Ovis aries: one gene and its partners. The protein of the gene in region 1 interacts with the protein of each later gene in a biochemical or structural test. Links are inferred from orthologs where the notes say so. Each region holds a gene or a part of one and is shown on either strand. Other genes may lie near its edges. The genes, in order: PPARG, HDAC3, NCOA4, TRIM24 and NR0B1.

Region 1 (6,762 bases):
AGAGACAGCGTGAACGGAGATGAGCGGGGCAGAGTGTCTGCCCTGGGCGCACGGTGTGAGGCGCCCAAGCATGTGGCTGCTGAGGACGGGGGTGAGGTCCGGGAGCCCAAGTGGAAAACGGCACTGAAGAAGTCGGACTATCGGGGCGCTTGCATGACAGATGAAGACTTCTAAATTTATTGCACGTCGATCAGTGCTCCCCCTGCTTTTGCGGCAGATTGCCCTTAGGAGAAGAGGACAACAAAGTTAGCCATCTTGGGGAAGGAAGGGATGTATCGGTGGAGCACAAGGGGCGTTTAGGGCAAGGAAATGTAGGCTTCTCTGATGGTGAATCCGGGACGCCATACGTTCGTCAGAGCCATAGAATGGTCCACACAGAAGAGCGAACCCGAGGGTAAACTGGATTTTAGTTAGTGATGTATCACTGTTGGTTCATCAGTTTTGTAACAAGCAATACCACACTAACGCAAGGGTTAATAACAGGGGAAATGTCAATTATTAATAGGGGAAACTATGTGTTTCAGGGTTTGGTGGGGAGGGAGAAAGAGGAAGGAGTATAGGAGAACTTTCTGCTCAGTATTTAAGTAAACCTAGAGCTGCTTTTTAAAATAAAGTCTATTCTCTTGGGGACTTCCCTGGCAGTCCAGGGGTGAAGACTTCACCTTCCAATGCAGGGGGGCGTGAGTTCAATCCCCTGGTCTGAGAGGTAAGATCCCACATGCCTTGTGGCCAGAAAACCAAGACATGAAACAGAAGCAGTATTGTAACACATTCAATAGAGACTTAGAAAATGGTTCATATTAAAAAAAAAAAAAGCTTAAAAAAATACAGTCTGTTTTAAAAAAAATTAGTGTTCTTCTAGCTGTAGCTGAAATGTACTACAAGTATAAAGTTGTTTAGGAGTTTCAGAGTCATCTCTTTAAAATCAGATGAATTTTTCATTCTAGTTCTTTACACATAAATAGCTATTTTATCATTAAAATTTTCCACAAAGCTTTTCAATAAAACCAGTGACCCTTAGGGATATGATTCCTGTGTGGAGAAGCCTGATGTTGGTTGGCAGGCAGTCACTGAAGTCATATGTTAAAAGTGAAACAAAATGAAGCCAGTAAAATGATGAGCAAACAACTTTTCTTGCAACCCAGACATGTTTTCCATCCCTATTTTTATTTCCCAGTATTGATACAGCAGCATATTGCGCTGCCTTTAGCTTGGTCAACCTTTACTTTGGTGTTCAGAAGAACTTTGCAGTCAGCGTGCTGAGAAACCAGTCGATAAACCCACAATTGTGGATATTGCAAGAGAGACGAGAGAGGTGTCTTTTCATAGGAAAGCGATTTATTCTAAGAAAAATGGCTGGAGAAAAATAAAGGAAGCAGACTGAGGAGATAGGCAAAGTAAATGGTGTGTCCTGGGTTGAGTAGATTTAGGTGACGTTCAGAACAAAAGATACAGTTCGATGGATGCCCCGTCACTAAGAGCGCACACTGTTTCCTGGATGTCATTGAGACCCAGTGTGAGCTCCGAACTGTCAGCAGCGTAGGGCTTGTACCATAACACAGATAACCTCAGATGGTTTTCGTCCTTATTCATGCAGATATTCAGACGTGCAAACCCACACAGTGCCTGATGAGCCCTCTTGGAGCCACTGAAGCACATTCACAGCGCTCGTCTCCTTATTTGTGTTTTCGAGGCAATTTGTTTTTCTTATGAAGACCACAGCTAGAATCTTTAACCTCTTGCAAGAGTCAGCCTGTGAGAGCTGCATTCTTTAGCTCTCTGCTTGCTGGGAAAAAGCAAGAAGCCCATTCCCAGATACCCTTAGGAAAGTCATCCCACTGTAAGGAGAACAGGGCTGTCTGTAGGACGTTGGTATGGGTCCGCTGTACAAGCTGACACCACTGGAGGGTCCTCGACCATGACGTTCAGGTAATGGGTGACTTCCCTCAGTTAGTTCAGCAACCTGGACGGCACTAGGAGGGTGGTTGTGTTCACTTCTCTCCTCGTGATCACCTAGGTGACATCTTGACCGGAGACTCTTTCTGTATCCTTTCTGTGTGTCGTCACGAGACTGCCCAGTCCTCAGGACTGACGTCACAGCTGGCCTTTTCTCTGTTTCAGAAATTACCATGGTTGACACAGAGATGCCGTTTTGGCCCACCAACTTTGGGATCAGCTCCGTGGACCTTTCTATGATGGATGACCACTCCCATGCCTTTGATATCAAGCCCTTCACCACCGTTGACTTCTCCAGCATTTCCGCTCCGCACTACGAGGACATTCCGTTCCCAAGAGCTGACCCGATGGTTGCAGATTATAAGTATGACCTGAAGCTCCAAGAGTACCAAAGTATGTGGTTTATTTCACTTTTCAGACTGTTGAGACTAGAATTGGACTAATCTCTCGTCCACAGTAGGGTAAATGCTCCCAGGACTAATGGCTGTGGTGAAGACATTTACCATTCATTCATCCATCCACTTGTCCATGAAATACTAAGCGTTTATAACTGACCAAGGGCTTCCCAGGTGGCTCAGATGGTAAAGAATCCACCTGCAATGTAGAAAACCCGGATTCGATCCTTGATTTCCCTGGAGAAGGGAATGGCTACCTACTTACTCCCTTGTTCTTATCTGGAAAATTCCATGGACAGAGGAGCCTGGCAGGCTAAAGTTCTTGGGGAAAAGTGTCGGACTGACACTTTCACTTCCCAGGTGGCTCAGTGGTAAAGAATCTGCCTGCAGTGCAGGAGACGTGGGTCGGGAAGATCCCCTGGAGGAGGAAATGGCAACCCACTCCAGAATTCTTGCCGTGGAGAATCCCATGGACAGAGGAGCCTGGGGGGCTCAGTCCATGTGGTTGAAAAGAGGCATGGCTGTGACTGAGCTGACACACACATGTAAGTGACCAACAAGGCAGGTAGTGTGTGAACACCCTGGATCCTCCTTCCTTTTTCCTCCCTTCCCGCCTCTCTTTCTTTTCTTCTTTCCTTTTCAGGGACAGTCTCCAGCATGATCACCGTGCTAGCTGTATCTCAGGCTAAATATCCGTCCCCAACCCCCCAGATTTTGATTCATTGTTTCTACTTTTAAGCAGATAGGTAACAGTTTATTACCTCCTTTAACTTATTGCTAAATCACTGTTACTATAATGCACCTTTCCTAATTCTGCAGTTTGAACAGCTTACACTGAAACCTATTTTTCAGCACAAATTTGAATATTGACACTGTAGACTATTGATAAATCTCCGTGCCATTAATGCAGCTCACATCAAGAAAAACTAAAACTGCACTTTTCAAGATAAGATAAATTTCTGTGATGCTGTTTCCTTGATTTTTATCTCTTTGCTGATATGCTGGTTTTCCAGAGCAACCACTGTGTAATTGGCAGCCATTACTTGACAAGAAGTAAGAACTTCCTGTATTTCTAGTTTTTTTTTTTTAAGATAAATTATATACTTGGTTATAGTTACATGTGTGATTTCAGTTGAAGCTTAATATGGAAATTTAATAGGCTTGATCCTGACCAGCAGAAAGATAGTGCTTGCTTTCTAAAGTGTCTCTCTCTATCAAAGATCATTTCACAAACCATCTTTTCAGACTCAACATTGATGAGAACCTGGTCTCTTACTTTTCACGTACCCTCAAGCTGGGCATACCATGTCCTTCTCAGTTCTTTTTGTGTTTCCTTTGCAAGAGTGGTTTAAGAACACTTCTAAAAATGCAATATTCAAGCTGAAATATATAATTTAATATTGTCATGAATGCCAGATACAGCCCATAGAAAAATAACCTTCATGATTTCAAATATTATATATTTCCTGTGGGAACTTTAGTATCATGAGGTCTTGGAGGGTCATAGAACCACAGACTTAATTCCCTTCCCAGTTTGTTTTCACAGGTGAGGCTCGGAGGTGTTGTGGCTTGCATGTGATGACGAAGCCCACTTCTCCCTGTGTCTTTTTCATGTTCCATAGTGCATCTAACCTAAACAGTGAAATATGGGTAGGAAGGTGTGCTACAGCGACATGCCCTGTTGCCTGTTTAGCATTGTTATTCCCGTGATGATTGTCTGCTCATGCTTCTCTGTACACAGGTGCAATCAAAGTGGAGCCTGTATCCCCACCTTATTATTCTGAAAAGACTCAGCTGTACAGTAAGCCTCATGAAGAGCCTTCCAACTCCCTCATGGCCATTGAGTGCCGGGTCTGTGGGGATAAAGCATCAGGGTTCCACTATGGAGTTCATGCTTGTGAAGGATGCAAGGTAAAAAAAAAAAAAAAAAAAATCGTTTTTGAAAAAATTTGCTGAAAATGTACCTAGGTTTCCATTTCCTGTTGCAAACAGATGGCAAAGAATTGAGACAGAGCTGTCAAACTTTTAAATATCTTTGGTAAAACCCATTCTTTAGATGATATAATACTTGAAAACCTAAGAAAATCATAAAAAAGCAAGGCTACTGTGCCTCACTTCCTTTTTTCCAAATTAGTCCTGTGCAGTGCTGATCTAATTCCATCTTCGCATTTTGTAGATTACAAAAAAAAAGAAATTGCTGGTTCATAGTAACATGGCAGGAGAGTGATGGGCTGACCCTGAACAGAACCCAGATTTCCTGAATCTCCTAATGTTTTTTCTTTCCACTATACTATGTAATATTCTGTATATGTAGATAGATGGATAACCTTCATTTGAGCCTTACCACAGTCCTAAAGGTTGAACTTATTTATGGCCGCTTTGCAGGTGTAGAAATCTTGTGTCACTGAGATTTTCCTGTGGTCATCCATTGTAAGTGGCACATCCATACACCTTCTGACTCGTAAACTGATGCTGTGTGTTTCCTTATTCAGCATCAGTGTGAGCCATATGTTATGGTCAGGCAAAGAGATACAGCTATTTTTGAAAAGAGATACCCTTTCTCTTCCCCTCCTTTCTTTGTGAAAAAGGCTATTTTGGAAAGTTCACTTAGTATTCATTTAATATTCTGCCCTATTGAGAAAATGTTAATCTACTCATGTTTTAAAATGAAGTCTTTTAAAAGAATTAATTCTAATAGGCTCCTTGAATAAAATAGTAATTGACTAGTATTATATACTCTAGTGCTCAGAATAAATTTTTGATAAGTATTTACCTTATAAAATAATGCTGCTTATATAAGATCAGATTCAACCATCAGTAGGGCTTTTTGTTCAGAATGAAGATACATGACAGCAGTTAGGTAGGTTGGGAGATCTGCATTCCTAACTGGACCATGAGCCAAAAAAGGAAGTTAATATTTACTGAATTTCTGCTATACACCAGATACTGTGTAAGATGCCTTTGTATATATTATATTTTTAACCATATCCTGCCTAAGTTATCACATCTATAACATGATGGTATTGATTCAGATGATCACTAAAGCCTCTTCAATTCAAAAGTTTATTTTTCTAAAGGCAACCTAATAAAGTGAAAGAGACAAGTTAGTAATTACCTGGCCACTTGTCCATGGCCTCTAACCAATCACATGAGGATTTCAGCCTCAGTCACTCATGTATAAAACAATTTGGCTAGAGTAGCTCGCCAAAGGGTTTCTGATTCATCTCTGGGTCTGAAATTCCAAAATGACTCCTGGCAAGAGATGCTTTCATTTAAAACATGAAAACCCATTCATTCAGTGATTGAAACCAAGCTAAAATATCTGTAACCTTATAGGAAATCATTATGTTCTCAAGGAATAGTAAGAACCTGTTATTTTACTCAGTTAGATTTATGTAATTTTGAGGAAATTGTGGCTAAATTCTTAGAAGTACTTGAAGAAATCATCTAGTTTTGATCATCTTGGTAATTTATGTTGATAAATAAAGTATGGTTGGTTAAGTTTCCACTGTATAGTATTGTTTTTTATGGGCTGGTAAAGCAGTTAGAAAACAAAAAGCTTTAAGCAAATAGTTTCACTGTGATTCTATTCATCAGATATTTGTGGAGAGTTAACGTTTCTGAGAACAGCTAAAAATTGAATGGCGATTTAAGGACTAACCAATCAGCCAAAAATTGAAAAGACAGATATTGTGAGCAGTTGCTTGTAGTGTTAAAGCGAAGTTCTAAGGGCATAAAAACTTAGAAGATCAAAGCAAGCAAAGAAGAAAAGTAGCAAAAAGAAGAGAAAATAGGGAGGAGAAAACTCAAGTGCCCTCTAGTTACAAACGGAAATGTGCTAAGGCAGAGACGGAGAATTAACACTTAAAACCTGATGAACCCAGAGGAGCCCTTCACCTACCAGAGACAGACAGGCCAAAGCAGTAGAAGAAAATTAACAGTATAGTAACCTCCAGTGATTTGTAAACCATCCAAAATAAAGATTACAGACTTCCTGAGAAAGGAAATCAACCATGAATATTCATTAGAAGGACTGATGCTGAAGCTGAAGCTCCACTACTTTGGCCGCCTGATGGGAAGAGACAGCTCATGGGGAAGGACCCTGATGCTGGGAAAGATTGAAGAGAAAAGAAGGGGCAACAGAGGATGAGATGGTTGGATGGCATCGCCGACTTAGTGGGCATGAATCTGAGCAAACTCTGAGAGATACTGAAGGACAGGGAAGCCTGGTACACTGCAGTCAATGGGGCTGCAAAGAGTTGGACACGACTTAGTGGCTGGACAGCAGCAACAAGAAGACTAAAATACAGAGAAGGTTATGCAAAGCTTAGAAGGGAAAGTAGGCATCTGCCCATTTTAAAGATAAGAATAAGAAAAATGTTCGAGGAATAATATAATTTGGCTTGTCCAA
Region 2 (6,238 bases), on another chromosome or scaffold:
CTGGTATTGTCTACCGTTGGGCCAGGTGTCCTTCAGGATGAATGGCCTTCAGAGGGACCATGAACTCCCTGGAAATTGTATGCAACATATTGTGTGTATGTGCATTTTTCTGGGAAAAAGGTCATTAGCTTCCATCAGTCCCTCCAGAAGTCTCATGAACTTCCCCACCTAGAAGTTTGGAACCAATAGTGGTCCCTTTGGGTTGCCCCTTTCCTGGGCTACACGCTCTCTGAACCCCCTTTTTCCTTTTGTTCCCTGTCTCCCCATCCCCTTGGGGTGCCAGGTGCCCATCTTTGGCCCTCTCCCAGGTTACAAGCACCTTTTCCAGCCAGTTATCAACCAGGTGGTGGACTTCTACCAACCCACGTGCATTGTGCTCCAGGTAATACTGTCCGTGCTTCCTTAGGCACTCAGGCTTACGGGAAGAGAGCAGGAAAGAGGAGAATCCCTAGGCTGGTGGGGGAAGGGAAGTGAAGGACATCGGTGACATTCTGAGTAGTTCTCTCACTGTAGCCACCTGGGGTTTTGATTTTTGCAGTGTGGAGCTGACTCTCTGGGCTGTGATCGATTGGGCTGCTTCAACCTCAGCATTCGAGGACACGGGTGAGAACTGCTCTCCTTCCACTCTTCCAGGTTTTCAAGTGGCCTTGGGCTTCAATACATGGAACGGGTAGCTGGGAAACAGCCCTCACCTCCTTTTGGGACTGAAAAGTAGCTGCATGTTGTACTTTGAACCAGAAATGTCATCTTGAGCAGTGTTCCCCAGTTGGCAACATTCACATTAGGTTTTTGTTAAGCACCTGTTGTGTTCCAGGCATTGTACTAGGAGATGGGGAAGCAGTCAGGGAACTCCCATGGAGTTTACAGTTCAGCCTAGGAAACAGGCAAAACTATAAGTAAGCAAACAAGATAGGTAGATTGTTATAAATTCTATGGAAGAAAAAGATAGAAAGCTAAGATATGGGATAACAGTGGAGAAACTACTTTAGATACCATGATTTGGAAAGAATTTTCCAAAATTCTGAGCTGAGACCTGAAGCCTAAAAGGAGTGAGCCATAAGAAGAACAGAGAGAGGTCCATCCCAAGCGGTGAGAAGAGTGCATGCAGACACGCTGAGACAGGGCAGAGGGGTATCGTGGAGGAGATGAAGTAAAACCAGTCAGGTGGAACACAGAGAGCAGGCTGGAGGTGGTTTGAGGTGATGTCTGAGAAGTCGGCAGCATTCGGGTCATGCAGAGCCTTTAGACCTTGCTAAGGAGTCTGAATTATATTTCAGATGTGTTGGGAAACTGTTGACAGGTTTTAAGCAGGGAAGTGACATGATCCAGCTTGAATTTTATTTTATTTTATTTTATTTTATTTTATTTTTTCTGGGCTTGAATTTTAAAGTGACTGCTCAAGACTTCCCTGTCAGTTCAGTGGTTAGGACTCTGCACTTCCTCTGCAGGAGGCATGGGCTTGGTCCCTGGTTGGGGAAGTAAGATCTCACATGCCTTGTGGCACCGCCGAAAAAAAACCAACTGCTCTGAGGGCTGAATGGAGAAAGGTTTGGGGTGGGGCTGGGCACACAGGAGTGGAAGTGGGAAGACTAGTTAGGGAGCTCTTGGTGTTGTCTCAGATAGGAGGCTAAGTTGGAGGAGGTGGCGGTAGAGAGAGGTAGGTGATGTGAGTTATATTTTGGTGGCTAAACTGACAGCACTTGCTGGTACATTGGTGAGACTAGTTGATTAACAGGTGGGTTGCTAGGGTGGGTGCTAAGCAGGACAGAGGTGAGAGTGCACTTTGTTTTAAATTTCACTGAGACGCAACGTGCCGGCAATAAAGTGCACATATCTCAGAGATATAACTCAATGATTTTCACTACCAAGGTCAAGATACAGAACATTTCTAGTTTCCTTGTGCCTCTTTCCAGTTGGCCTCTAGAAGTGTGTTCTCTGGCTTTTGGTAACTTCCTCCACCCATTCCTCTGGTTTCTTTTAACAGGGAATGTGTTGAATATGTCAAGAGCTTCAATATCCCTCTACTGGTGCTAGGTGGTGGTGGCTACACTGTCCGGAATGTTGCCCGCTGCTGGTGAGCATGCCCCCATTTTTCCTCCTCTCCCTTGTACAGTGTGAGCTAGGGGCTCTCCCTGAGAGATGGCCAGTGGACCTTTCACCCCACTCACTCAGCCTGCCTTGCTCTGCTGGTTTGTTTCAGGACATATGAGACATCACTGCTGGTAGAAGAGGCCATTAGTGAAGAGCTTCCCTATAGCGGTAAGGACCATCCCACACATGCAAGGGGGACCATGCCCCCACAGCAAGAAGGCCATTCTCACAAGACCATAGAATGGCCTGGTTTGAAAGTGGATGGGAAGTTTGACTTTATCAGAGTTCTGCAAACTAAACCCCTGGGCCTAGAGAGGGGAAAAGGTTGAGCAGATGTTATGTAGGGGTTTTGGATGGAAAGGAAAAAGATAGGCAACTCTTGGGACCTGCCTGTGTCTATTTGAGCCATCATGTCTCCTCCTTTTTCCCCAAGAATACTTCGAGTACTTTGCCCCGGACTTCACGCTCCATCCGGATGTCAGCACCCGCATCGAGAATCAGAATTCACGCCAGGTCAGCAGCTTGGAGAAGCTGAGCACAAGGGTGGAGGAGCCCAGGAAAGGTCCAGGATGTGGGAAATCAGAGAAACCAGGGAAGAGAGTCTCAGCCATCACTATCTCTGTTATCAGCTAGGAGGCAGCCCCGGTGAAAGCACAGGCAGTCAGGGTTGGGAGGAGGGACAGTTACCAGCTGGGGGATTCAAACTAAGATGCAAAATGGGACTGAAACTAGGACTGCAGGGACAAAAGGCAGCTACAAGCATTGACATCCTGGGAGTCACTGGGAGCTGCTCATTGTCTATTCCTCATCCCCAACCAGTATCTGGACCAGATCCGCCAGACAATCTTTGAAAACCTGAAGATGCTGAATCATGCACCTAGCGTCCAGATTCACGATGTGCCGGCAGACCTCCTAACCTACGATAGGACTGATGAGGCTGATGCGGAGGAGAGGGGTCCTGAGGAAAACTACAGCAGGTCTGGAGCAGGGTCATAAGAGCAGGGAATTCCAGCAAGTTTTGGGGGAAGTTAAGAGGGAAAAAGTAAGTTAGACAGCATTAGTCTAATTGTCCTCAGTGTACCTTCTTCAGTATACAACCATCCCATACTTTTTTTTCCCCCCGATTTAATGATGTAAGTGACATACATTTATTGTAAAACTTTTCAGTTCAGTTCAGTCGCTCAGTTGTGTCTGACTCTTTGTGACCCTATGGACTGCAGCACACCAGGCCTCCCTGTCCATCACCAACTCCCGGAGTTTACTCAAACTCATGTCCATTGAGTCGGTGATGCCATCCAACCATCTCATCCTCTGTCATCCCCTTCTCCTCTAGCCTTCAGTCCTTCCCAGCATCAGGGTCTTTTCGAATGAGTCAGCTCTTCACATCAGTTGGCCAAAGTATTGGAGTTTCAGCTTCAACATCAGTCCTTCCAATGAATATTCAGGACTGATTTCCTTTAGGATGGACTGGTTGGATCTCCTTGCAGTCCAAGGGACTCTCAAGACTCTTCTCCAACACCACAGTTCAAAAGTATCAATTCTTCTGCACTCAGCTTTCTTTATAGTCCAACTCTCACATCCATACATGACTACTGGAAAAACCGTAGCCTTGACTAGACGGACCTTTGTTGACAAAATAATGTTTCTGCTTTTTAATATGCTGTCTATGTTGGTCATAACTTTTCTTCCAAGGAGTAAGCGTCTTTTAATTTCATGGCTACAGTCACCATCTGAAGTGATTTTGGAGCCCCCTCAAAAAAAGTCTGTCATTGTTTCCACTGTTTCCCCATGTATTTGCCATGAAGTGATGGGCCTGGATGCCATGATCTTCGTTTTCTGAATGTTGAGCTTTAAGCCAACTTTTTCACTCTCCTCTTTCACTTTCATCAAGAGGCTCTTTAGTTCTTCTTCACTTTCTGCCATCAGGGTGGAGTCATCTGCATGTCTGAAGTTATTGATTCTTCTCCTGGCAATCTTGATTCCAGCTTGTGCTTCATCCAGCCCAGTGTTTCTCACGATGTACTCTGCAGATAAGTAAAATAAGCAGGGTAACAATATACAGCCTTGATGTACTCCTTTCCTGAGTTGGAACCAGTCTGTTGTTCCATGTCCAGTTCTAAGTTTCATGTTCCGTGTCCAGTTCTAAGTCCATGTTCCAGTTTCTGTAGATTACAATTGTGCTGTTCAATATTTATGTATAAACACAAGGGCACACATACACTCATTTTCAGTGTTGTGCAGTTTTGTTTTTTTTTTACTAAAAGTTGGATCATTCTGTACATGTTCTACAATTTCCAAGTTTTTTTTTTAACCAGTGTATCTTTCTGTGCCAATATATATAAAAATCTGCTTCATTATTATTATTTTGCTTCATTATTTAATTAGTTGTATGATATTCCATTGTATGGACATAGCATAATTTAACCAAGTGCTGTTGACAGGCATTTTCATTATTTCCTGTTTTTTTTCACTGTTACAAAGAGTGTAGCAGTGAATCCCTGTAAATATACATCTTTGAGTGCTTGAATGGGTTACTGGACTTGTTGTTGCTAGGTCAAAGGCTGTGTGCAGTAAAGTTTTTTTTATTTGTTGCCAAATTGCCTTTCAGACAGTCTATAACAGTTTATATTCTTGCCAGCATTTTACTGACTCCTTCCAGATTCCAAGCTGGACAGGTCACTGCACATATACTGCTGTTGTAAGGCCCGTAGATTTCTTTCCTCTCTTAATTTTTTCAGGTGTGATAGTTGTATTGTGTGTATGTGTGTCTTTTTAAATATCTTTACCTTCCTGAGATACCTATTAAAATATTTACAGATGCACTGAATTAGAGGAAAAAACAACCAGAATAGACTTTAAAAAAACCACAAAAGCTGAAACAAGCTTTTCTGGAAAAAAGGAAAAAGACAAGAGAACCCAGAAGTGCAGAAACAGATGTATTTAATAGAGAACAGATTTCCTTATGTGACTGGGGATAACCACAGCTGGATGTTTGCAGGACACCTGGTCCTGCTCCCACACACTGTTAAGAAGTCTGAATTGACTCTGCTGCAGAGTCTGATGAGCTTCTCAGTCCTTTCCAGAATTTTCTCTCTGTCTTAATAGTTCACACTTCCAGATCTCTCTGCTGGACCTGGGCTTTACAGCTTAGACTCTTGGGACCACTCCACCCCTCCTCCTCCATGTGTACCCCTTCATTTCCTCTCTTGGTTGAGGATGTATCTGAACATCTGGCCTCAGGGATCCTTTTTGACCCCTCATCTCCATCTCAGCTTCTCCAGTTCTTTGAGGTTTGACTTTTGGAAATTGATCTTAAAAATTTGTTTTTCAGTTTCTTCCTTTTGGAAAAGTTTGTTTTTTTCATCTGTGATTTCAGGCTGGTATCTGGGCCTTGTCTCTGCATTATACAGCTTGTTCTCAACAGCCAGCAGAAGCCTCTGGCCTCTTCCTGTCTTAAGCCCTGTTACTGTTGGACTACCCACTGACTTCCTTGTCGTTGATACTTGTAGCATATCAGCTATATAGGATATGATATTTATATTAAATTATACATGATACAATGCCATCATGTCATCATTCTCTTGCCATCCGACAACCCTGAGAGGTGCTATTCTTAAATTAACAGAAGAGGAATCTAAGGTTCAGAGAGGTTAAGTAGCTTTCCGAAGTTCTTACAGCTAGTTAAATACCAGGGCTGAGATTCAAACCTGAGTCTCTGGTTCCTCACCTTTAACCCTTGCACACTTGGAGGTAACTGAGACTTTGCTCTCCAGGCAGAGGGAGCCTTTCCTGATTTTGTCCCCCAACTTCTCTTTGATGACTTTCTCCCTTCTTTCTCAGTTAACAGCTGTGGGCAAGATAACTTAGTTATTTATTCTTCCAGAGAATAGTTTTCCAAAAAGAAATCAGAATTGGGTACATATTGGGCCTTGTATTACTTTCATATCCCTTCACCCACTACATACAGGTTTACAGTATGTCACTCCTCTACTAAAAGTGCTCCTTTCCATTGCATTTAGAAGAAAGTCCAAATTTCTGATGATGACTTTATAAGGCCCTGCATGCTGGCCCTTACCCTCGTCCCTGGTCTCATTTCTGATGACTCTCTCTCTTCTAGCTGTCTTGACCGCCTTCTCTCACTTCTCTC
Region 3 (5,528 bases), on another chromosome or scaffold:
TCTCAAGTGCTGTTTGCTGTTTGTTAGCTTGGATACACTTGGTGCTTTTCGTATCATTGTGGCTCTATGATTTCATTTTTCTTCTAGTTGCTGGGCCAGTTCAATTGTCTTATTCATCAGCTGGAGTGCACCCAAAACAAAGACCTAGCCAATCAAGTCTCAGCTTGCCTGGAGAGGTAAAGACCCTTCTTGTGTGTTTTGATTTTGGCCCTTTGACTTTGGTGTATTAAAAAGTCACTTTGTAACTCTTTGCATGACTTGGATTTAACTTAGTGTTAAACTTAACGTTTGTTTGATAATATCATCTTGCTTTAAATATTTAATATCATACTTGGTGGTACATGGTTAAGTCATCTATCTTTGGTTGAGTTACTCAACCAAACTTCAAATAATTCACAATTTGGTTTTTATTTTGGATGAATTTGAAATAGATATTTCTTTAAAATAGCCAGATTTTGTTTACTTTTTTCTCCAGATTGGGCAGTCTGACCCTCAAACCTGAAGATTCAACTGCTTTATTCTTTGAAGCCGACATAACTGCCCTGCGCCAGGCAATCACCACATTTGGGTCTCTCAAGACCATTGTAAGTAAATGTTCATCTCAGAAGGTTCATAGTGAGCTTCTCAGGTCTGTGGCCCGTCACATGGTCTTAAAAATAGCACATTGTCACTATGAAAAGGGACTTTCTTGAGAATTTGGTAAGCTTTAGAAACTCAATATTCTGATTGCATTTATAGAGCCTTAGGCTGGTAGTGCTTGGAATGTATTATTGACTGGTTGATTGTCTCTGGAATTCCTCTTTGTACCTCTAAATACCTTTGACTTATTTCTTAGGAAATTTATGGCTTGAATGGTCTGTATAGAGTCAGATGTCGTCTCATTTGGGTCTTGTTAGTAGTTGTAGTACCACCAGCTCTGGTGAAGGTTTCTTCTGTGAAGGTAGTTATGTGGTAGATAGAGGATTCTCAGATTCTATAACTACTTCGTAGGTCACTGAATCTAGTGTGAGGAAGATTTATTCTCGTGAACTGTAACACTTTGCTTAGTACTTTTGGAATTTAGGGATTACAAGTTCACTTTTTTGGTCTGAAAGCATAACATTAGTAAACACAACTGATTTGCTTTTTATCTTATAGCAAATTCCTGAGCACCTGGTGGCTCATGCTAGCTCATCAAGCATTGGGTCCTTCTTGGAGAAGAGAGGCTACATCCCATTGCCAGAGCAGGTAAAATGTCATTTTGTTTCTGGTAACTGAGTATTATTTGGCTTGTATTTCTTTGGGGTTTTGATTATATCACTTTTTTTTTTTTTTTGGCTATCATTTATTTGTAAAAAGGCACAAATGGTAATAAATGAGTTTATACAGTTAAACGCTTCCCTTGAGACTGAATGTCAGAAATTTAGAGGTTTTAGACATGTTCTGTAAGAAAGTAATTGTTATCAGTTAGTTCATAAGAAATTATCATTAGCTCTATGATTGGGTTGGTTCTCTTAGGGATCCTTCTCTTGATCATTTACTTCTGAAGGCAGTGTGAGAAGTGTGAATATAGCATCCTAAAAGTTTTGAGTTGAGAAGCTGATTTCCAGCTGTACTCTTTGATTTGTAATTGTGAAAATGGAGGCTTAGGGGAATCATTTGACTTGTGCAGGGTCAGCACTGGGCCAAGATTAAAGAGCTTGGGTCTCCTGTTTTTCTGGCAAACTTTCTGCTGCATTTGACATTGCCTTGTTAAGCAGCAAAGTATTGTGTGATTAGCAGAAGTCGGCATCCAGCGCCACAGCTGTCCCTCTCAGTGAATGGCTCCTTGGAAGCAAACCTGCCGTCGGTCACCAGGCTCCTTACCTGCCCAGCACCAATCTCCAGGACTGGCTCAGCCAGAAGCAGACCGTGGAGAACAGTCAGGTGTGTTGCTGCCCCTGTTGGTTCTGAGATAGATGATGTAATAGATGGGGTTAGTTACTAACTGACAGCATGTCTTTGGTTTTTAGTTCTAGTCTGGGAAACATATATTTTAAAGATAACATTTTATTACAATAGTGACAACCTCTTCACTGTAGAGAAAAAGCTTAGGAAAAAACTATATAAAGAAATACAAGCTCATAACCCCGCGTGCAGAAACTACCACTGTAACATTTCGTTTATGCTACATATACGTGCATGAATATCTGTCACTTAATTTCTTCCATAAAATCCCTCATAGTATATAGTATTTCATTGATGGGCTAAAACTTCAGGTTTTCTGAATATAAATAAATTTCTTTTGCGTGTCCAGGAGATAATCATTTCTATGCATTCTTGATTAGTTCTTTAGGAATGAATTCTTAGAAATTGCATTCTATAGTTCTGCAGACCCTTTAAGGCTTTCAGTACACACTGTCAGTTTGGGTTTCCAGAAAGTCCATACCAGTTTATATACCCTCTTCCCTAAACATCTCTAACAGTGGCAGTCATTTACAAGTTTTTCTCTGAATTTAACACAAAAGAATAATTTTACTTTTTGAGTTTCTTAGGTTACTAAGGAGATTGAGTATTTTTCATTTTTATTAGCTAACTTTGATGACTTCTCTAATCATATTATGACTCATTTTGGTCTTTATTCATAAATGCACATGTAGAAACTACTTGTCTCTTTTCTACAAGATGTGCTATAAATGCTTTCTCCTAGTTTGCCTTTTTTTTTAAACTGCAGAAAATTTAAGTTTTAATATAATTATGTATTTTAATATCTCAGAGAAATCCCATGTCTTTTGGCTATGTATACTTAAACTTAGAAACATTTTGTAGTGTGGTAAATATAAGTAGAACTCTTATCATTGAATTTCAAGGCAGTCATAATATTCTAGCAAAGTAATATTGTGTATTTTTTGTGTAGACGTCTGCTAGAGCCTGCAGTTTCTTGAATAAAGTCTGGGGCAACCTAAAGGGTTTGGAAAACTGGCTCCACAAGAGTCAGCAACAAGAAGTTTCTGAAAAACCAAGCTACCAAAGGTCTAACAGCTGTTCTACTGCCAGTTCTTACTCCGTGGAAATCGAAGTGGTTGAAGATACAGAGCCTCTTGATCAAGATGAGATGGATCTTTCTGACTGGCTGGTAACTCCCCAGGAATCCCATAAGCTTGAGAAGCCCGAGAATGGCGGCTGTGAAACCACCAGTGAGAAGTTTAAGCTCTTGTTCCAGGTGTTCCAGGAGTCCTACAATGTGAATGATTGGCTTGTCAGGTCCGATTCCTGTACCTGTTGTCAGGGTAACCAGCCCAAAGGTGTGGAGATTGAGAACCTGGGCAGTCTGAAATGCCTCAACGACCACTTGGAGGCCAAGAAACCCTTGTCCACTCCCAGCCTGACTATTGAGGATTGGCTTGTCCAGAACCATCAAGACCCATATAAAGTAGAGGAGGTCTGCAAAGCCAATGAGCCCTGTACAAGTTTTGCAGAGTGTGTATGTGATGAAAATTGTGAGAAGGAAGCTCTGTGTAAATGGCTTCTGAAGAAAGAAGGAAAGGATAAAAATGGTATGCCTGTGGAACCAAAGCCTGGACCTGAGAAACGTAAAGATTCCCTGGACATGTGGCTCTCTCCATCCAGAAGAGAGGCAGCAGAGCAAGCTAAGGCACCCAAGGCAAGGGCTTCTAGAATTGCTGATTCCTTCCAAGTCATAAGGGACACTCCCTTGTCAGAGTGGCTCATGACCCCCTCACACAAAGAAGGATGTCCCAACAAGGAAGTGCCTCTTACTGAGGACAGGGCTGGCAAACAAAAGCCTACAAGCCCCTTGGCCACTGCCTGGTGTCCCTTTAACACAGCTGACTGGGTCTTGCCAGGAAAGAAGACAGGAAATCTTAGCCAGTTATCCTCAGGAGAGGACAAGTGGCTACTTCGAAAGAAGGCCAAGGTGAGCCAAGACATTAAAAAAGCACCACTTGAAGTATATTCAGTAGATTTTTATTTTCTTAATCCCAAACCTTGCATTTTCTTAATCCCAAACTTTGCATTTTCTTAATCCCAAACCTTGCAAATAAATGGACCAGATCCTTAACTATCTTAACTGTTAAATGCAGCTTAAGTATTAATTTTGGGGCCATGTTAGCAACGGAATGGAACACTTAATGATTATTCATACTGAAGCTTGTATTTTCTATGCCCCAAATCCGCATCTGGCCTATTTTATTGCAGTTTACGGAAAAATTAGGAGCAGAGAAAATAGTTGTCACTTTGCTCTGTTACTAGCACGCCCAGCGTTCGCATCACTCTTTATAGACACTAGACTGGAAGATGACTTGTTGGCATCACGCCTCCCAGCTGTCATGGAGCAACCCACCCTCTGTCTTGTTGCAGGAAGTGTTACTCAGCTCACCCCTACAGGAGGAGCACAGCTTTCCCCCGGACCGGTACGGCCTCCCAGCAGTTTGCGATCTCTTTGCCTGTATGCAGCTCAAAGTTGATAAAGAACAGTGGTTGTATCGAACTCCTCTACAGGTCGGTATATGCCGCTAGTGCAAATGCTGCAGCTCTAGCTGCTTATGGCTTGTCTTATGTATGAATTCAGTTTGCTCACCAAAGTGTATTTCTGTTAGTGGTTTGTGTATTAGGTGAGGTGGGAAAAGAGAGATCATAGAAACTTCGTGTTTCACTTGAACTTGCTCCATGAAATAACTGGGACATACTTGAAAGTAACCTTTCCAGATGATGTAGCTGTCAGAATTTTTGGAGCCTGTGTGGTTTCTAATAGCTTATTGAGAAATGAGAGCTTTAAAGTGGGAAGACATTTGCTTTTAATCTTACAGTGAAGTGACTTTTTATGTGGACTTTTTTTTACAGATGTGAAGGAATCGAGTACTAGTCAATCAAATTTTCTGCAGATTATCACAAATCCATGAGCTGAGTGACTGTGGCTTGCGAAATCATTGTCTCTGGGTCTGATGTAGTTCCTTTCCTCCCCAGTCTCGAACTAGTGAAGAGAAATTAGTCATCAAATTATGAATTACTGTGGAAAAGAAAAAGGTGATTTGTTGATGCTGAGGTGATTCAGGTTCTTTCTTACAGAAGTATTAATTCACCCCTATGCTAGAAATGCATCTTGGTGGGTAGGTCTTTCTCATAAGCCTCCATGGCTCCTTAGATTGGGTGGTTATTAGAAGTACATTAAAACACTGTAGTTTTGAAAATGAAATAGTTCTATAATCAAAGTGTGTTGATGTATTCTAAAGCTAGTAAAATTACCTTTCAATTGGCAGTCTTTGGATGCTTCCCTTATCCTGGGTTTTCTTCCATTAATGGTGAATTTTCTATTTAATTAATATTCTATTGCATTTTACATCATTAACCTTGCCAATATAGTGGTTTTTTCTTACCAAAACACATATTGAAAGTCTTGGCAATTTTTGACATTTATTACAAAACATTTTAGCTTAGGTGCCAGATTCTACATTTCTTCTTTGGAAAGACATTCAGATTTTGCAAGATCTGTCTGTATTTCCTTCTCTAAATGTTATTGTGAAAGAACTTCTCTTTCGGAAGGGCTCCAT
Region 4 (6,238 bases), on another chromosome or scaffold:
AATTTCATATACATTCTTCATTAACCACCTTTTGGCAGTTTTGGGGCTTATTGACTTTGTTTCAAAATCATCAAATAGGGTTGCTCTCTCATTCTCTAAGCTAGATTCTGGGTAAGAAAGAACTGGCTGGAAGGAGAGCCAGTGCTCTCAGAACACTCCAAGAAGGGAAGAAATAGGCTTACATAAATCTCATCCATATGTGAGAACAGTAAGAATGGTAATGTGACCCTTTGAAGAAATGATAAGGTGACTCCTCAGCACAGTTTAGAAGTACGTATTTATTGATTGATAAACATAGCCAGCAGCTGGTATCATACATATTCTCATCTATATAACTAAAAAGAAGCATCTTAATACAAAGCATGTATATAACTATCTCTTACCCTACTCTACCCTCCACCACATATATAGCTATACAGAGAATCTATCACAGCTTTATATCCACAGTAACAGTCATGTTGACTTATATGTACTTATAAGCATATCACTTAAAACATAGTCCACATGATGTAGACATAGGTAAAATTAAGAAAATATGTAACTGTACGCACATAAGTGAATATAGTTTAGGTAAATCTGAATCAGCAAAAACAAAAACACCTCCTGTTTGTGAGGAATTTGTAAGACAGTATCCTTTACTGTAGGACTTTTCAGAGGTGTCATATATAGCTCTATAAATTGTCGTTTAAAGTGAGATTGACGTTTTAAATCTTCTAAGAAGGATACAACTTTCCCAAACTTGTTTATTTATGGCTTCTGAGAAACATGTTACAGAAGAGTGCAAGGGAAAAGTAGTGTCTTGGACGCATATTCAGTTTAGTGTCTTTGTGACTTTGGATAAGTTGTTTGGCCTCTCTGAACCTTAGATCCCTTATCTGTACGAAGGATTTTAACAATATACATAGATCTCCTATCATGGTACCTAATGTGGAGTAAGTATTTAATGAATGATAACCATATCTTTAAGGATGCATATGCTTAGTAAATCAGGAACTTTTAACTGAGTCTCTGCTATTGAAGAAATCAAGCTTTGCCCTACTCTTGGACCAGACCTGTGAGAGGTACCTTTAATCTCTTTTTTAACAGTGTAGTTATAAAGCATGGTGTTCGCCATCAGAGAACTAACACAATTTGCGCCATGAAGGTGTAAAGAACTAGCTGTTGTTGTCATTCAATTGCTACATCATAGAGAGATAACTGAGTCAGTAATACTCTGTGGTATTGTTCTCACATCCAGTGAGAACAGTCAGGTTTGCGTGTTTTGTTTTGATTATACAATAGCAGTTCTCACAGTGTAGTCTGAAGCTTCTTCAGGTGATAAAAGGTCTCCCTTTTCCAAGTACATACCCATATGTGGCTGGGTTTTCTGCATGTATTTCTATTTAAACAATATATTAGATAATGCAGAAACAGTTACCGCTATTAAGCCAGACATTTTAAAGAACTGTTTGAAAATGTAAAATAGTGCCATTCTTCACTAAACTTTTTTGAAAATAAAAATAAGGTTTTGTGTGTGTGTGTGTGTGTTTTTTCCATAAAAATATGTTACTCTTGGTTGTCACTTTTAAATGAATTAGTATGGAAAAATGTTTTTTAATTCTCATTTCTAATTTTGAATAAGGTAGATTTTGTTTGATAGACCCTACATAAACAGAAACTCTTCGGAGTTTCTATCTTTAAGCGTGTAAAGGGTTCCTAAGACAAAAAGAAGTTCCTTGGAAATCCTGAAAATGAGCAAAGATAGCCTTTTACAAAATATGGTATGTTACTATCAGAAAATCTTCAGAACTTAACTTTTTCTCTTTGATTAGGTTCTTTAGTAATTGAAGATAAAGAGAGTCAACCACAAATGCCTAAGCAGAATCCTGTCGTGGAACAGAATTCACAGCCACCAGGTGGTTTATCTTCAAACCAGTTATCCAAGTTTCCAACCCAGATCAGCCTAGCTCAGTTACGACTCCAGCATATGCAGCAACAGGTAATGGCTCAGAGGCAACAGGTGCAACGGAGGCCAGCACCTGTGGGTTTACCAAACCCTAGAATGCAGGGGCCCATCCAGCAACCTTCCATCTCTCACCAGGTAAATTTGGAAGCAGGCCTGTCCTAACTTAGATAATTATAGTACAGTTGTATTCAGCAGCTCCTAAAATAACCAAGGTGTCCTTCCTCCATGATTTAAATATATGAATTTATAAAAATTTGTCTCATCAAGGGTCCCTAATTTAACTCTAGTTCTTAGCCCTTCTGGAAAAGAAATTAATGGTTTATTCAGCTGGGACATCTATTCTCATCTGCTTTTTGTCATCTTTGTAACAGAGGATAAATGATTGCATTCCTGAATAACCCATGCATATGATTGGTGGGAAAGTTGTGTACCTGTAACTCAGAATTGTTACATTAGTGCTTCAGGATGACTGATGCTTCAGGTATCTGTCCTCTATGAAGATGCAGCATTTAGAAAACCCACTGCATCTAGAAACTAGGACAGAATGAAATAGAAAAGGGAAAGGGTGTGGTTTGTTAGAAGTCTGCCTTTTTCAAACTTTATTTCTGAGCAAATGTTCCAGGCACCATTCTTTTTTTTTTTTTTTTTTCAGTGTTGTCATCTTTTTATTTGTATTATTTCTTAATTCATAACAAAGATTTCAGTCACTGGTGGAGAAATGGGAAAAGCATGTGTTTATTTTCTACTTATCTCTCTAAAGGGTTTGAAGAACATACGCATGTAAATTCTACTTGTGATGTAGAGTGGGTGGAGGAGTCTAGACATGTGTTCATATAGTCATAAACTCAACAGTACTAACAATACAGTAACAACTTCAGAGCATGAATCAAAATCATGATCCTGTGGATTAATTACCGTGCATTAGTTAAGAACAAACAGTTGCAATATTAGTATACATTTCTGCTGTTGTTATAGAAGAAGCTTCTATCCACTCCATTTAGAGCAAGTCTCTTTTTATCCCCCCATGCACCATTCTTATTTTAATGCACAAAAATTGTCTCTTTTTTCAGTTCCTTTTATTTATTAATTTATACTCCCTATTTCTCAGAATTTGAACTGATTTACAGTAAGTGACTCAAATGAAATGGCACAGGGATTAATAAGTATTAGTAATGTTCAAAGCATGCAGAACTAGACTAAGAATTCTCATGCTTGAGAACAGGACTTAGCTCAGTTTTTGATCAACCAAACAAAGAATCAGGAATAATATCTATTACTTGATTAAAAGGAAACATATCATTAGAGAAATTTTTTACCAGTGTTTTTTTAGCACTAAGAGGAATGCATACATAATGCAGTTCTTTTATGAAAAAGCAATTAAATGGCATAATAGCATGTTTTGGTAGTGGTTATACAAGACTCTTCATAGGAGACTTGCTTCAACCCTGAATAAGACTTATGGGCCTGTGTGAATCCTGATTTTGTTAAATTGCTTCTGTGTAGGCCTGAGGTGATTTTATTTGTGATTTATGGCTGTCTGGTAATTTGATTAAGAAGATATGTCAAATCCAAGAGAATATTAATTAGTATGACCAGTTGATTATTGCTCTCGAACTTTGTTTTAACCCAGGTTTTTAAAGGAAGTAAATAGCAAGCAATTTAAGAGGTCTTTGTTTGATGAGTGTTCTGTGAGAAAAGATGTATACACTTTCGATCCCAGGAGTGCCACTGGCAGAGTTGAAATTTTGTTAAGAATATGGAGGAATTCTTTTGTCACTCCCCACCCAGACTGCAGAGTAACATATTGCAGATAGACTGCAGAGCACCCAAATTGTTTTGGACATATATTTGATGAGGAAAAGAGAGAAAATACTTACTGAGTGACTAGTGCTAAGCATTTACATGATTAATATTTATCTTAAGTATTTGAAAGATGGTAAAGTGATTTTTATTACTTTACTAACCTGAAGCAGGATAAATCCATCATTTGCATTAATTCCCTTTTCATTGAAAAGTGAGGAACTGAGGCAGTTAATAGATTCTGTGTGACTCAGTCACATTCTCAGAAACAGCTGTTTATAGAAGCAGTAACCAAACAGAAGTAACCTTGATAGAGCCTTTAGCCTGCTTATCTCAGAAATTTATATTTGATCTTATTATTTCTTTCTGTGGTGTACTGCTGTATGATATATATATATGTATATATATAAATAATGTACAATCTTTGTTATACAGCCTAATTTTCCCACTTACCGACACATTTGACCCTTGAACAATTAATTCAGGGGTTAGAAGCACTGACCCTCCATATAGTTGAAAATCCACATATGACTTATAGTCAGCCACCCCCCGCCACCCACCATGGCTCCTCCACATCCACTGCTCTGCATCTGAGGATTCAACTAAACACAGATTGTGCAGTACTGAAGTATTCACCATTGAGAAAAATCCTTGTCTAAGTGGACCTGCAGTCTAAACCCATGTTAGAATATCAACTGTAATTTTCTCATCTTTATGTCATTACTTCGCACACTGCTCTTTTTCTGTCTCCTCTCAGTGACCCCTGAACCCTCTTCTAGTACTCTCATCTCTCATTTTTATCTTCTCTCTACCAAATATCTGCTCCTACATTTTTCACTCAACAGTGTTTTCCCTCTTCTTTAAACTTTTGCACTGCCCTGCTTACCTGCTTTCTTAGTTCTCTAGCAGTTTATTTGCATGTACATCTGGTAAAATATCTGTCTGTAGATAGGTGTATATGTGTGCCTCTTTGTCGTACTCTACCTGTAGCCTGAAGATACAGGTCAATTTAAACGCCTGCTCTAAAAATCGCTTACACAGTAGTTCCCTGTTTCTTCTTTCTCTGAAAGTAGCCATGTAATCTGAATGATTAAAGAGCTGGGTGATACACAGATAGACTACATAGTTACATGACTGTGTGGTACAAACTAATAAACACTCTGCATCTCTTTATTGAGTGGTATACAATATACTCTGTCGTACTGCAGTGGACAGCTCGAAGTTTGTTAAATCTAAGTCTGTTATTGTATACTTTATGGTTCTCACTCCTGGGCCAGATTTACTGTTCTGCAGAGATACTCTCATTTATATGTATATATTAATTTTCCTAAACAGTGAGTGGATGTTAGAAGGACATCTGCTATCCTTCATGGTTATACTGACCTAGAATAAAATTACCACCTATAATAAAGTATTTACAGTGAGGGTAAGGATAATGATGAATATATGTCTCTTTACTTAAGCTCTCAATTATTTCTCTATTCTCTCCCTTTTTTCCTTCTTGCAAGTTAATTCCATTTAATTAAAATAGCATTGGTTTTGCTATTTCTCTTATGTTCATAAATAGTTTCTAGTCCTGTTCTTTCAAGTTACTTTTCCTGTCATGGGGTTCTTAGAAATTAACTCAGTCAACAATAACAGTTTAGGAGAGGAGATAAAAATCAATCACCTTAGATCTTTCTACACTAGGATTCCTTGATGGGCGAGTGAACATCCAGTTCCACACTGATTTCTTACAGGAGTATAGTACACTGGCATCAAATGTCACTTCGTTTTTTTCTTTTTTCCCTGAATGTCGTTTCTTGACTGAATCAATATATAAATTCCAGTCAGGGCAGGAGTAGGCGAAAGTTTTGACTGCCTTTGTTCTCCCTTAAGGATCATTTTGAGTGTTTTTCCACTTTTTAAAAAATAGTCTTTTGGATGAATTTAGAAGTTTTCCACTATACTTCCCCAATTACTTTTTGTTTGTGTTTCTGTGATATAAAACCCTTCCAGTGAAAAACTTTAATAGAAGAACCAAAAAGAATTGCTATGGCTTCAGGCTTCTGTGAAATTTTGGCATTTTCTCTTTTTCTCATATTTTTCTATTCATCCACAGAATTTCCTTTGATCTAGAAATAGTGTCTAAGTCTACTTTTCATGAGGTCTGTAATTGCTGGTCACTCTTGTAAGTTACTAAGTGTGAACCCAGTGCCAGCTAATTTGCAGGAGAGGAGAAACAGAAGACCTTTTCCCAGGAAAGGAGATAAATTCCAAAAATGAGAGAAAGGAAAGAACAAAAAGAGGGCAGGGCTACACTTTATAGCTGTCCGCCTTAAGACGTTGCTACTTCAGCTTTATAAGCTCATTTATTTGTTCCCCCCCCACCACCACTTTGAATATGGGGGTTAATAGTTCCCCTTTCTGAGAAGTTCTGGTCATATACAGTTAACAAAGCCTGAAAATAAGTATTTACTTTGCAATAATTTGCCAACCTTTTGTGGAACTTTG
Region 5 (6,757 bases), on another chromosome or scaffold:
GAACAAAGCCTCCAAGAAGGAAACATCATGTGACTTATTTAATAGTCACTATGTTTGTAGGCTCATATTCAAAAACTGCTGGTCCTGAGCCAAATGCATATTTAACTCAGTAGGACCGTTAAATATAGTTTAATGAATAGCACTGCTCCAGTTCACTCTCTATGCACTTACAAAGACATTAAAATTATTTCAAGAAGTGTGCATCTTATGTTTTACCTGTAGGAAATGGGCCTTAGTATAAAGGTGAGAAGTTTTGCCAGCTAATATTTGACCATCCTCCCTTGAATTTCCCACCACTGTAATGATTACAGTGCATGGTGGTGGACTTCACAGCTGTCAACTGTGACTGACAGTCTCATTTTAATTATTTGCCTGCAGGCTGATTTTAGTCTGGAGTCCCACAATAATTTAAGAGTTAATACTGGCCACTTAGTTCATCGTACCATGACTTCTGTATTGGGGAAGGTTTTTAAAAAAGTGATTCCAGGGACTTCCCTGGTGTTCCAGTGATTAAGACTTTGCCTTTCAGTGCAGGGGTTTGCGGGTGTGCTCCCCTGGCTGGGGAGCTAAGATCTCACATGCCTCCTGGCCAAAAAACAAAAACAGAAAACAGAAACAGTATTGTAACAAGTTCAATAAAGACTTTAAAAATGGTCCACATCAAAAAAATCTTTTAAAAATGGAGTCTAATGAGCATTCCAAAAGGCTCTTTAAAAAACATTTTAAAGTAAGCAGTCTTTAAAGGGTTAAAGAGTAAGCATGAAAACATCATTGATTGCAACATGGTGCAAAAGTAACTTTTCAAATACAACCTGAGACCCAAGTAAAAGAGAATGAAATACAATACAGGGAAGATTAAATGCCTGTTAAGTTTTATAAAGAGGGTGGTAAGAGGAGGCTGCTTTTAAAAGTCCTTTGATCCTACACAATGGTGATATTACTGGACTATTACTGTAAACTCTCTAACTTGTATTTAAGTACCAATTTACCATTCAGTTTAAATGGTGTTGATTATTGTAATCATTTTCCTTCCGATTTTCTATGAATCCAATAGAAAAGTATTTTAAAAGCATCATGCTCATTGTCAGAGTAACAGAACCAGCCAGTGTTCTTTTAGAAAAAATACTGGCAATAGGCAAGTTATTTCTATTATAGGCAAGTATCAAATCTGATCGATGAGAACAAAAATAGCACAACATCTATAATCCATATTCCTATTCTGATTACCCCAGTCCATGCATTACCATCCCCTACTACCTACAGTTCATTATCCAGGCTTGAGACCCAATTTTACTGCACTGGGATTCCATTCACGTTGTTTTGTTGTTTAGTTGCTAAGTCATGTCCGACTCTCTTGCAACCCCGTGGACTGTAGCCCACTGGGTTCCTCTAGCTTCAGAAGAAGCTTGCATGAAACCACCAAAGGGTGGTGGTTGGAAGCTCCACCAGGTCTAAATTCATGGTTTATTAAAACTTCATCTTGTGAACTCTACTCTTCTCTGCTTTCATACCACACTCCTCTTTCTCCATCCTCCTCTAAAAGTGCCCTCCCCCCTCGACCCTGCCCCCACTGCCCCACCAAGACCTGCCTTGAAATTAATTTGAGGAAAGAGAAAGGCAGATTGATGGATTCCATGGGAGGGGGGAGGGACATTTTTAAACATAAAGATCAGGGGATACAAAATGATAAACACCAAAGAAAGGCCACACACTTAGCAGGCAGTACTTTTTCCCAGATAAAGTATATTTGTATTTAAAGCATACCCAACTTGGGTGGATTAGACTCCTTTGAGAGAGAATTCAGAAAAGCAGGGGAAGAGTAAGGGATGCAAAACAGGGTGGAGGAAAAGGTAAGCCAGTGGGATGTAAACTTCTAAAAGCTTAGGGCTTGTCTTACCTTTTTATTCCAGCAGAACAAAGCACATGGTAGATGTCTAATAAAATGCCTGAAGGAGCAAGAAAACAGTCTTCCCAACGATCTTAAGAACCACGTGAGAATGCATTACTATGGATGCACATTTGCAAACCTTGGACCAGAGCTACTGAATCAGAACTTCCAGAGGAAGAACCTGGAAAGATTTTGGATGACCCCCACCCCCAAGAGCACAGGCAAGTTTGGAAAACTGGTATAAGCAAAAGGTAAACTATAATGATCACTGGGATAAGCTGAGGTCTCTAAGTCCTGAAACGTGAGGTCTGAATTATCATCCCATTAAATACTGTTCTTGACCACTGCAAACATGCTAGGTAGGAAGCAAGGACATAACCCCAAGGGCATGACAGCAAGACGCCTGGTGTCAGGATAAAGGATGTAGTGGGAGCATGGTGAAAGCTATCTGAAAATTTCCTGCCCACCCACGACCCTCTTGGAAGGATGCTGGTCCAAGATGACTCCAGTAGTAGGACACACTCGAGACAAAGTGCTGGGCTGTCCAGGGAGATGTTCTTGGATGATTTGGTTGTGCTTAGCAGGGCAGTGTTCAGCACCCAACAGGCACCCTGAAAGTGTGGGGCAGTGGACATCCCCTTGGGCCCAGGAGACTCACGTGCCACAACTCAGTGGCCATTTACTTTGGAGTAAGGTCGCTTGCAACTAGACTACCTTATCTGCCAAAGGGATGGAGGAAGAGGGAGAGGCCCAGGGGGTTGACAAGGTCTCTAGGATATCTAAGAGAAAGAGATGGCAACCCCCTCCAGTATTCTGGCCTGGGAAATCCCATGGACAGAGGAGCCTGGCAGGTTGCAAGAGTCCGAATGACTTAGTGACTAACCAGCCACAAGGTATCTAAAGGCTCTAAAACAGCGCTCCTGCTTGCAGTCCTGAACATGTCTTTTTCCTATCCCTTTGCTAACCTGTCACATTTAGACGATGAGATAGTTCAACTACTTAGGACCATTAAAATGACCACTCAGAGGCAGACCCACGAAACACCGAGTCCAGTGTTCTTCCTGCCAGTACCCCCCAGGGGATGGATGGTCTCTCTACGGATCCTTAACAAATGTTTCTTTTCTTGCCAGCCTTAACAGCCTTCGGCCGACAAAAAAAGCCTCTGGTAAATTTCAGAGTTGAGTTTCACAAACAGACGTTGCAGAATTTGCAGCGAACCCAAACTTTATTTTCTTTTTTAAAAGTACGCTAGTGGATTTAGAAGATTTGACAAGGAATATAGCCAAGTTCCCCAAGCCACAAACTTTTCTGTGGTAACAAAAAGATGTGAGAGATCAAGTACAAACCTTAGCAAACAGCCCCCCTCCTCCTCCTCTCGGCGGGGTTTCTGAAGCCACCACTCCCTGCCCCTCACGAGGAATGGGTTTCCGGAACTCCCCTATCTCTGCTGAGTTAGCCAGGATTCCTCACTTGTGCACCCTCAAACTCCTCTAACTGAAAACTCTTCGAGTGTCTGCGCCCCGGGGTCGGTACTGCGGAGAAAAGCCAGAGCCGAGGCCGGCGCCCTTACCCGGGTTGAAGAGTACGGTCCCCTTGAGGTAGGCGTACTCCTTGGTAGTTATATCCAGGCTCCGGCACTTGGCAAGGAAGCCCTTGATAGTTTGGACCTCGGCGGCCGAGGGCAAATACTCGGCCTCCAGCGGCAAGACCGAGTGCGGCAGCAGTGGGGGTTGGGGCGGCGGCTCGTTGCCCGCGGTCTCCCGCCGCCTGGTGGCGAGGATGCTCTGCAGCAGGCTGGGCTCAGAGGTCTCCACCGTCTCAAAGTTCAGGCGGTCCTGGGCCAGCTCCAGCATGAGCAGCGGCGCCCAGCAGCTGCGCAACAGCACTAGCTGCTGGTCCAGGGGGAGCACCTGGAAGCAGGGCAAGTACTTGACGAAACGCAGCGTCTTCAACAGCCCCGCCGACGCGGCCTCGCAGACCACCTGTGGGCTCTTGAGGGTCACCCGCCGCCGCACGCCGCGCGCGGGGTCCCACCAGGGGGTCCCCGGCGGTACCTCTCTAGCCAAGTCCGTCGGCTTGGCGCCCGAGGGCACGTGGCAGGGGAGGCTGCCCAGCCGCGGGTGGTCTTCACCGCAAAAGCAGCAGAGGCACGGGAGCGCACCCGCCTGCCCGCCCCGCAGTTCCTCTCGGCCCCCTAGCCTCCGCGCGCTGTAAGAGCGGTCCCACCATGCGCCCCCCGGCTGCGCCTCGGAAGCTTCAGGCGCCACGTGCGTCTGCTTGGCGCTGGTGAGCAAGCTGTACAGAATGCTGCCCTGCCGCGGGTGGTCTTCCCCGCAGAAGCAGCAGCGGTACAGGAGCACCGTGGTCCGCACACCCGTCAGCCCCTCTCTGCCCGCCGGGGGCTCAGAGCCACAGGAGCAGCCCCAGCACGCGGCCCCCAGTCCTTCCTCGGGCGCCTCCGGAGTCTCCTGCGCTTGCTTGGCGTTCATGAGCAGGTTGTAGAGGATGCTGCCCTGCCGCGGGTGGTCTTCCCCGCAAAAGCAGCAGCGGTACAGGAGCACCGTGGCCGGCGCACCGGTCAGTCCCTCTCTGCCCACCGGGGGCTCAGAGCCACAGGAGCAGCCCCAGCACGCGGCCCCCACCCGTGCCTTGGGCGGCTCCGGGGTCGCTTGCACTTGCTTGGCGCTCATGAGCATGTTGTACAGGATGCTGCCCTGCCACTGGTGGTCCTCGCCCGCCATGGCCCGCGGTGCCCGCAGCCTGGCTCTGTCCAGTGGCCGCCGCCTGCGATCTATTTATACTGAGCGCGCACGCACGCGCATCGGCCGTCTCCGCCCGGGCAAAGGCGCGGAGCGGGGCGCGGTGCTGGGTGTGTTCGCTTGTGACCTCGGCGGTTCAGAGGGGACAGATGCACCTCACAGGCTAAAAATGGAAGAGGAGAGGAGGCGTGGGCGCTCCTGGACACTTCCCCCCTTCGTCTCACTACACGCTTCCCCGCCTCTGGAAGACAGCTGAGCGCAGGGAGCAGGTATTGGGGGCACGCTTCCAACTCTCCATTGAACTCTGGCGTCTCATTGACTCCCTTTACTGGGAGGGCAGGGTTATCAAAAAGGGCAAAAATCTATTTCCATGCCTTCTTTGCAAACTTACATTAAATGACCAAACTTTGCATGACTTACATTTTGTTTATGGATAGGGAGGTCTTATTTTCAGGGACTTGGAAAAATACAGACCATGGACCAGTAGTATCAGCGTCATAGGAGAACTTGGTAGAAATGCCCAATCTCAGGCCCCAACCAGACTGTCTGACTCTGAATGTGCATTTTAACAAGATTCTCAAAGGATTTGTGGGCCTGTTAAATTCTGAAAAAGCACTGGTCTAAGAATGCTATCATAAGCTTCTTGTTCAATTCAAGTAATATTCATGAGCTCCCACTCAGTCGTAGCTGTTGTGTTAGCTGGGGACCACGTGACCAGGGTATAAAAGTGGCTAATATTCTGGAATATAATAATCAAAAGGGGCTAAAAAGTTGCTACAGAGAGAACTTTGAGTTCTTCTAGTGATATTGGGTAGATGTGCGATGCACATTTCTCCTCCCACCTTTTCTGAGCAAATAATGAGAAACACAGGAAGCCTGGATCCTTTGGTCCTCACTTGCCATTGGCCTCTGCTCGAGCTCCTTAGAGGCAATGGGATGTGCAGCCCCACATCACCACCTGCCCCCTGATTGCTTCACCAGCCATCTGGTTAACTTGAAATCACAATCTCTTAGTCCTCAAATTCCTTATCACTGAAATGGGAAGTTTGTTTAGTGATCTCTTGGGTCCATGACTGAAAACATGAAGCAAGGGGACAGGTGAATATTGGATCCCATGTTTCTCTCTCTGTGTCTGTCTCTCTCTCTGTGTGTGTGTTTGGTTGGTTGGTTGGTTTTAGTTTCTCTGAGATGTGGAATTCTGAGCATAAGAGGAAAAGCTCGGGGACACTGATTTTGCATTCAACCTGAAATTTTATTCTGCCTGTGAGCAGCCATATAACACAGTGCTTAAATCTTCACACTGGCACCAGATAGCCTTGATTTTAACTCTGGCCCTGCCACTCTGAAGCTCTGGTGGCCTTGGGTGATGTATTAGTTTCCTACTGCTGCTGAAACAAATTACCACCAATTTAGTTGACTTAAGGCAATTTCCCTGGTGGCTCAGATGGTAAAGAATCTGCCTGCAATGTAGGAGACCTGGGTTTGATCCCTGGGTTGGGAAGATCCCCTGGAGAAGGGAAAGGCTACCCACTCCAGTATTCTGGCCTGGAGAATTCCATGGACTATAGTCCATGGAGTAGCAAAGAGTCAGACACAACTGAATGACTTTCACTTCACTTCTTTAGGGTTAAGAGGTAATACCATCCCAGTGCCATCCTTATTCTCTCTGTCCCAGGGAAGCCCACCCTTACCCTGAACCCTGAGATTATCTCCTTTTCTGCCTGTCCACATTTCTTGGCCCAGATTCAAAACACTGGGTGGATCACCTGGTCCACCACAATAACATATATTGGAAATATTAGCTCATCACGTGTTTCCAATATTCAGGTTACTGTTTGGGGTATTGTTACTGCTGTTTCAGGGATCTTCCTGCCTGGCGAATGTGCCAACCAGCCTCTCTGAATAACCCAGCCTGCTTCCGTCCCCTCCTTACATTACCAATGCTAGTTACTTTTTATGGTGTTCTATTTTATTTTCTTCCTAATGGTGATCAAAATTGGATGTGATTGATTGATTTAGTTATTTGATGCTTGTTGATTGCCTCCCTCAACTAGTATGAAGCTCCCTTGAGGGAAAGGAGTCAGCCACACTGTATCCCAGCAACTAGAAT

The links.
Region 2: the proteins of PPARG (region 1) and HDAC3 form a complex in vitro, tested with the Homo sapiens proteins (3 studies listed by BioGRID, with this or other methods). The link is inferred for Ovis aries from reciprocal best matches to the Homo sapiens genes PPARG and HDAC3.
Region 3: the proteins of PPARG (region 1) and NCOA4 form a complex in vitro, tested with the Homo sapiens proteins (2 studies listed by BioGRID, with this or other methods). The link is inferred for Ovis aries from reciprocal best matches to the Homo sapiens genes PPARG and NCOA4.
Region 4: the proteins of PPARG (region 1) and TRIM24 interact in a test that uses a peptide from one of them, tested with the Homo sapiens proteins (2 studies listed by BioGRID). The link is inferred for Ovis aries from reciprocal best matches to the Homo sapiens genes PPARG and TRIM24.
Region 5: the proteins of PPARG (region 1) and NR0B1 form a complex in vitro, tested with the Homo sapiens proteins (2 studies listed by BioGRID, with this or other methods). The link is inferred for Ovis aries from reciprocal best matches to the Homo sapiens genes PPARG and NR0B1.

The regions. Positions count from the first base shown.
Region 1 is NC_056072.1:56,682,571-56,689,332, reverse strand, and holds the start of PPARG (peroxisome proliferator-activated receptor gamma), read left to right. Parts: upstream 1-2,129; coding exon 2,130-2,349; intron 2,350-4,092; coding exon 4,093-4,262; intron 4,263-6,762. UniProt on the Homo sapiens protein: Nuclear receptor that binds peroxisome proliferators such as hypolipidemic drugs and fatty acids.
Region 2 is NC_056058.1:50,374,779-50,381,016, reverse strand, and holds part of HDAC3 (histone deacetylase 3), read left to right. Parts: intron 1-308; coding exon 309-382; intron 383-538; coding exon 539-603; intron 604-1,984; coding exon 1,985-2,074; intron 2,075-2,200; coding exon 2,201-2,259; intron 2,260-2,524; coding exon 2,525-2,604; intron 2,605-2,910; coding exon 2,911-3,068; intron 3,069-6,238. UniProt on the Homo sapiens protein: Histone deacetylase that catalyzes the deacetylation of lysine residues on the N-terminal part of the core histones (H2A, H2B, H3 and H4), and some other non-histone substrates.
Region 3 is NC_056078.1:43,007,678-43,013,205, reverse strand, and holds part of NCOA4 (nuclear receptor coactivator 4), read left to right. Parts: exon of another isoform or gene 1-87; coding exon 88-176; exon of another isoform or gene 177-475; coding exon 476-584; exon of another isoform or gene 585-1,137; coding exon 1,138-1,227; exon of another isoform or gene 1,228-1,761; coding exon 1,762-1,905; exon of another isoform or gene 1,906-2,875; coding exon 2,876-3,895; exon of another isoform or gene 3,896-4,338; coding exon 4,339-4,497; 3' UTR 4,498-4,821; coding exon of another isoform or gene 4,822-4,827; 3' UTR 4,828-5,528. UniProt on the Homo sapiens protein: Cargo receptor for the autophagic turnover of the iron-binding ferritin complex, playing a central role in iron homeostasis. Acts as an adapter for delivery of ferritin to lysosomes and autophagic degradation of ferritin, a process named ferritinophagy.
Region 4 is NC_056057.1:103,689,546-103,695,783, forward strand, and holds part of TRIM24 (transcription intermediary factor 1-alpha), read left to right. Parts: intron 1-1,811; coding exon 1,812-2,080; intron 2,081-6,238. UniProt on the Homo sapiens protein: Transcriptional coactivator that interacts with numerous nuclear receptors and coactivators and modulates the transcription of target genes.
Region 5 is NC_056080.1:29,501,512-29,508,268, forward strand, and holds the start of NR0B1 (nuclear receptor subfamily 0 group B member 1), read right to left. Parts: upstream 4,657-6,757; 5' UTR 4,630-4,656; coding exon 3,459-4,629; intron 1-3,458. UniProt on the Homo sapiens protein: Nuclear receptor that lacks a DNA-binding domain and acts as a corepressor that inhibits the transcriptional activity of other nuclear receptors through heterodimeric interactions.